Linked DNA regions of Drosophila melanogaster. The protein of the gene in region 1 interacts with the protein of each later gene in a pairwise test. Each region holds a gene or a part of one and is shown in the gene's direction. Other genes may lie near its edges.

Evidence for each region. The genes of interacting proteins can lie anywhere in the genome.
Region 2: the proteins of Sod3 (region 1) and CG15800 interact in a two-hybrid assay, tested with the Drosophila melanogaster proteins (one large-scale study listed by BioGRID).

The regions. Positions count from the first base shown.
Region 1 is NT_033778.4:11,382,160-11,385,920, reverse strand, and holds the start of Sod3 (superoxide dismutase 3), read left to right. Parts: upstream 1-1,806; 5' UTR 1,807-1,906; intron 1,907-2,845; exon of another isoform or gene 2,846-2,989; intron 2,990-3,603; 5' UTR 3,604-3,609; coding exon 3,610-3,672; intron 3,673-3,738; coding exon 3,739-3,761. Other genes in the region: sprt (sprite), read left to right, coding at 1-365, 479-860. UniProt on the Drosophila melanogaster protein: Protects the extracellular space from the toxic effects of reactive oxygen intermediates by converting superoxide radicals into hydrogen peroxide and oxygen.
Region 2 is NT_033778.4:23,789,981-23,793,255, reverse strand, and holds CG15800 (uncharacterized protein), read left to right. Parts: upstream 1-2,028; 5' UTR 2,029-2,063; coding exon 2,064-2,537; 3' UTR 2,538-2,642; downstream 2,643-3,275. Other genes in the region: sona (sol narae), read left to right, coding at 1,189-1,260.

The DNA.
Region 1 (3,761 bases):
GGCAACTATATTACCACTTTGGTGGGGGGCAAACCCATCGAGCTGATGGGTGACGACATGGCCTCGACACAAACCCCTCCCGGACATGTAACCAAAACACTGATCAAGGAGAATACCCACATCGATTTGAGAGATCGTCTGTCGCACATGTACTCCATGCCCTCCAAATCGCTGTCCGCCTCGAAGATCTCGATTAATAGCGATTCTGCCTATATGCAGCACCATCGACGTGATAAGGAGCGCCATCGCGATCGCCAGCACCGGGAACGCCCCAGAGATCCTCTCCAGCAACAGCAGCAACTGCATCGCGAACATCTCATGAGCACGCACGCACGCAGTGTAGAGCACCTGAATCATTACAATGGGTAGGTTATTCGCGATTCTTCGAGATTCTTGTGTAGATGTTCTAGCAAAGACAGGCTTTTTCATAGATTTAAATTTTCCTGACTAATCTCCCCGATCTTCTTCGCCATTCCAGACTGGATCGTCGCCGAGACACGCCCCGACAAAGTGAGTCGAACACACTTCGAGCCCGCCTGCCCAGCGATATGAGGAGTGTAAAATCCCTGGATTTCGATAGCGAAAACGAATCGAAGCCTGCGACTGAGACGCGTACCACTAGACCCACTCCGCCCAAGAAACCCCTCCGGCTATCGCTGCAACGAGCCCAAAGTCTGCAGACCGTGGAGCTGCACCCCTGTGCGGATATCGAACGAAAGCGGCCCATGAAGAGGGTCCACCACAACAACAACAACAACAACAAAGGTGGAGAATCACCGACTGGAGAGGGCCAGACCATGCTCATCGAGAACTGCAGTCCCATGCACACGGCTTCCCTCGGCAGGCACAAGCTCATCTAGAAACCCGATCCCAATCCAACCAAAACTAATTGTTAATCGAAGTAGCTTAATCCTCGACCGATCCTAACCGGCGGTTAAACCCAAAAAACAGGCGGACATGTGCAAAATTACAGTAGGCAATATAATTTTAACCAGCTCCCAAGTGGAAAGTTTCTTATTATGTAGTAGCAGTAGTATGTACTTACATTCTATATCTTGTATAAGTAGGGCTTGGCTATCAACATTTAGTATTGAGAGAATCAATAATTAAGAGTTTTTGTATGTACGATGATTTTATTAGCACAATTTACAAATGTGAATACACGAATATTTTCACCTACTTAAATGCGTTATTTATTTAAAAAATTCGATCCCGGCCTGCTATAAATGTGATGTAACTACAATTTCATGGCATCGGTTGGCATATCAGAAGCTATTACCTGGCAACTCATTTTCAAAGAATTTGTAGCAGTAGTTCTTCAAATTGCTTCGCCGTATCTGGAAAGCATGCCAATATTTACGACCTCCATTGTAGGCACGAGCCTGGCACATATTTTATGACGCCACAGTGATAAGGTATTCAAATGAAAAGCACGTTAGCGTGTTTCAGCTGCGCTTTTAGTAAGTTCAAAGAATTACTTAATAGCTATAATTTGGATATAATTAAAAAAAAGGCCGTTAATAGGATAATAAATATATCATCAGAGCTGGACAAAAGAATCTGATCAATCTGCAGTTGATAAAAAAAACTCAACGAGGGAGATAGAGCGATAGAGCGGTGAAGTAAGCCCGAGATAAACCTGAGAGCGGAACTCTCGCCTACGCGATCGTGCTGACCGCCAAATGCAATATCCGCCGCTCCACCTGGTGGCGCTCTCAATTCTCAATTCTGCGGTCTTCTTGCTCTCGCCAAATCTGCCCCAATGTTCTCTCAGCGAGTCGATTTGCGATGGCAATGCCAGAGGCTCGAAACAGTTCCGTCGCAGGTTTCCAACGGTACAGAGGTGCAATCGCTTAATTCTCGCAAAAAACAATCAGTACCCAATTATAAAATAGTTGCTAACAAGGTGAGTTTGCAACGGACGCGAAAAAAAAGAAGATCAAGGGCTAGTAATCGAGAATATTGGGTGAAGGTTAAGCTGAAGTTGAAGTTACTTGAGTTAATTGTAATTGTTAATTGTTCATAATTTATTGGTTTGCTTACATTTTAGAACCTGATTTAGATATATTACCCACAATTGCGTGTTACCAAAAAGAAACCAGTTACCGCAAAAACGGAGTTTACTTCACTGATTTTTGATTCTCTCATTCACTGTCCGCTCACCCTTGAGTGGGTTAAGGTAACCAGTTATTAATCCAGAAAAATGAGTGGGCAAAAATGCAGCACAGACCAGACACAAAATATTGTACATATCCATTACAATCCACACATTCCACGGCTTAAAACTTCAATAAACATTTAAATTCCCAATCGTGAACAGTTGGTTGAACAAGTGTTTACGATATTCTATCTTTTCATATATGTAAAATTATGGCTTGTTCTTATCTCAAAACTGCATAGCTTCGGCGTTTAAATTAGACGCGAAGTCTCTGTGTGTGAAATCAAGTAATCTTGGCTGTATTGTTTGCAAATTCACGAAGAGAGCCCTGCGATCAAATTGTTCAGATAAGCATCTTCATTAGCATATCGTTTCACGGTAAAACTCAAACTGAGTTATTATTTTCAAATCAATCATATTTAATCAGCAAGCAAGAGCCCTAATAAACCTTATTTGATGGACAAGCAGTGGCTATTAGTTGCAATTTGTGACCCATTTCGTGACAGTTTGAACCAGAATAAGTAAATACCTGGCAAAAAACAGATTAAAATACTTATACGTAATGACAATGGCATTTTTAGTTCCGAAATTCAGTCGCTCTACGAGCGTGAGAATCGTAAATTATGGGACCGATTCCAAGTGCAGATAAGGATACGTGTGTAGAGCAGGTACTGACCGCGTTTGAAGATCGTTTCAGAACTCGAGCGTGCAAGATCGCCAGCATATCGCAGACACATTGATAAGACCGTAAGGAAACCGGACCCATAAACAAATATTGCCCCGATAAAGTGTGACACCCATCCATTTCATTTGTGGAACTTTGGAAGCGAAGTGCGTACGAAAAAGAGATTGTTGATTGACCTTCCCGCAGCCGCACTTAACCCTGTGAAAAAGGCTGTTTGCATTTAGTTTCGTTTGGGTATCGCTCATTATTCACACACATAAATAATAATACCCGTTCGCACATCATATATGACCCACAAATCGTTTCATAAATTGAGGCTAGGCGCTTCAATTCCGCACACAACTGTCCGTTTAAATGGAATCAAGAGAATGTACACCTGATGACGTCCAAGCCAGAGATGAGCTGGAATTCAAGTGCCAGAGATGAGTTGGCATCACGGAATTTGAGATTACAAGACATAAACCCTCCTAGCATTTCCCAAAACTGAAAGTATTTGGTTCCAAATCATTTAAAGCTTTACTATAAAGCATTATATAAATAGTTTTGGAAGATGTTTTTAATATTGAGTCCATATCAATTATCGAAATTTCAGGATTATCATTTAGTTCATTTTTAGCTATGTCCAGTAGATCATCCCTGGTGGGATTTTCTCTGCTTGTGCCACTCAATTTAAAATTATTTATTTATAGACATTTAAACATTTCTAACATTTGCTATCCGAGTCGTACACGTGTCTAATTTAACTATGATTTCCTTGCAGTTCAAAATGATGCAATATCTTGTTGTTAGCCTGGCACTCTGTGCCACAATTTGCTCTGCTGCGCAGACGGTAAGATATATAATCTCGTTAATTTGAAAATCCACTTATAATTAGGACACTGAACTTACTTTGCAGCGCAATATGCCCATTCAAGCCAT
Region 2 (3,275 bases), about 12 Mb from region 1:
TTCTTATGGACTTCTGACGGCCATTACATGGTGGCAAAAGTCGGTTGACCTTTGGCCAAAATGGTTTTCATATTATTTGGAAGATTTTACACTTATTTGTAGCTACACATCTTTGAACGTGGCTTGCAAGCTTCCTTGTCATGCTTCTAAGCTCAAGTTCGTGTTCTAAGTCTTTTGTTTTGAAGCGCTTTCCATGTTTACTCAAAATATCGATTCCATTTTCTCATTTTTGCCTGCCCGCCGGCTGAAATAGGAAAAAGTGAACTTTCCTTGCGCTTACCTACAATTTTCGCCAATCCATGAGCAAGTGTCTTGGGGCATTGGCCTTGGGCTGGGTACCACCCACATTTGGCAATTGCTCAGCCGAACATTTCATTACGATTGATGATGATCGATTCGCCGGCGAGACTTTCTTTCACTCGAAGTGGGCCACGGCAGTTCGGATCTTGCAGCACGTTGCATGCAAATTGTGCAAAACCTTTGGGATATAAAATGTCATGCAATTTGTCGTAAATGTCGCTGAGAAGTTGCGACACGGCAACGTGAAGCGGCTGTTGCTGCTGCTGCTGCTGTTGCTGCCTTTGTTGCCGCTGGTCAGTTCTGTTTGTTTTCTTGGTTGGTTTGTCAAAAGGTTGGATGGATGCTGTTACCCCCTCGCCACGCATCGCTGCATCATTATTGACAATTAGCCGCATTCGATGGCGGGCGGATGTGCAACTGCAACTGCAACGGCAGCACAAACAGCAATCAACAGGGCAGCACAAGATTGTTTTATGCCTCGAGGCTGCTTCTTGGCCTTATGCAATAATTAATTACTCGGCCAGCGGGCCAGAAAACTAGGTTTCTTTCTACAAAACTAAAAGTAAATATTAATTGAAGCAGCAAGCGGCGTTTGAGTTGCAACAACAGATGCTAACTGTACTCGCGTTGCAAACACAGTGCTGTCCATTCGAGCATGACCAGGACGGGTTTGTGGGCAGGGAACTAATGGTCATGTGAGGTGGTAAGACCATTATTTGGGAAATAAATACTTTGCATGCTGGCCCATTGCGTGAATATATTGGCAAATGGGATGTGGCTAATAATAATTAATATTTAATTTATTTAATTTTCGTTTCCCCTTCGTCTCTTTGCAGTTTAAGCATTTTTAAGGATTATATTAGCACCCTAGGCGGCCGAAGCAGTAAGATGTCCTCACCACTGGTCCTTTTCACAGCGCTCCTCCTGGTCAGCAGCACAATATGCCAGGGCCTGCCAGATGTAAGTACCCGCAGATATGATCAATGCCAAGTGCAAGAACTCATCAATCAATCGGTGCGATATAAATAACCTTTGGGCTCTTATAATGCCATAAAGCCAGCTGTTAACGGATAAAAAGGGGCAAAAAAAAAAAAAAACGAACAACAAATGGCCGCCAGTCGGCGGTTTCATTGTCATTCGCATTGTGCGTAATTAGCATTTCGAGAAATACAAAACATTTTTTGTATATTAATTAAATTACAAAACAGAGCAGAGCGCAGTGCCGAAGAGAGTCGTCGTTAGAAATAAAACATTGGCATTGTGTGTTTGCATTGTGGGCCAGGTTTCTGAGTGCGCCTGTATGGGTACGTATCTCATTGACACACAGCACAGCTTTTGTCTCGAGTTTTTTTTTTGCTTTTCGTTTTCGAGAAAAAGCTTGGCCAGCAAAATTATGGCCAAGGTCGGACGTAAAAAGTTCTTGTAATTATTTCAAGTGAATTTCAGACTGTCCCTCCCTCCGTTTGTTTACTAACTTTTATTTTATTATTCTGCTGTCGTTGGCCATTTGCTAGCCGCCTTCTTTACACTTTTCTCTTTCATTGTCACTGCCTTTGTTGCGGAGGTTATGGCTTTGGTTGGTCGCTTGGAAACTTTGTGATTACAGCAGATGGTGGTTTATTTCGATATTGAACTCCAATTTGAACAATTTCCAGAGGTAGAGTAGGCACAAGTTTGTGGTTTAGTTCGTATTGATTGCAAGCAGTAGGCCCTGACTTTCTGATCCGAAGCTCTTAATTTGTTATTCGAAATTCGGTTCAAGAATGGTGCGATTCGAGACAAGGGATGGCCGTACGATAAGCGTAAATCTGGCTCTGCTCGAGAAATCCTTGGTGATCCGGGAGATGTGCCGCGTTGGCCAGGTCCCAGAGGATGAGGACTTCGTCCTGCCGCTGCACGGTATACACAGCAATGTCCTGCTGAAGATCTTGCTGTGGGCTGAGTACCATGAGAAACACGAAGAGCCCGCCTGGGTGGACAGCAAAGATCCTCTTCCGGCCGAGGAGATTGAGCTGCAGATCTCCGATTGGGACAAGGAGTTCCTGCGCGTGGAAATCGATAGCATTTGCAAAATCATGGAGGGCTGCAACTACTTGGACATCCCTTGGCTCTACAAGCTCTGTGCCCAGAAACTCGTCTTCCTCAGCAGCCGAGAGCCGGAGACGCAGTTCAGCGGTTACGTGGAGAAGATCCCAAGATTCCAGGATCATTTCATTGAGCAAATTCAAAAGGAATAGGGTGATTTGTAAAAGGAACGTTTGGGCTAAAATTGTCTCTTGGCTGTATTCAAAACTGCTGAAATTCAAAGAATAAAAAATATTAATAATAATAGTAGTAACTTTCCGTTTTCGTAACCTATTACAATGAAATATTCAAATTTAGCACGAGAACCCACATTTTATTTTCACGTTCCCTTGACTTTTTTTTTTTGGAAACACTTAAATATAGACCATGATATTTTGGGTTCCGATTTTGGAGCAAGTTCGTGTTGGCGGAGACATCGACCCCCTAGCCTTGCCAAAGTGCTGGCATAAAAAAGTGCCCCATAAACGACTTCGTCTCCGTTTTCCACTGCAATTAAAGTTGACACGCTACACCAGCAACAACAAAAGCGACTAAAACAGCCCAAGTAACAACAACTTTGACGAGGCCCTTCAAATCCCAGCCGAGCATGAAAAGAGTGATGTAAAAAACGAACTGAGGTTGGTTCATGCAAAACACCACCAGAATATCGATTCGGATTCGAGTGAGTCAGCAGTCGGCAGTTGGCAGTTTTGTAGGTTTGCATTTTTGCTTTATGTGCTGTCAGAAATGCAAAGGAATATGAGATATCTAAATGTTTGCGGCCTATCAATTGCCGGCCAAATAAATTAAGCCTTTAATTGTGCAATCCAGAATGGTTAGCCGCACGATTTGTTGTTGTTTCCTGGACTCGTATTTTGTTATTTATTTATTTATTTTTTGTTTAGCTACTG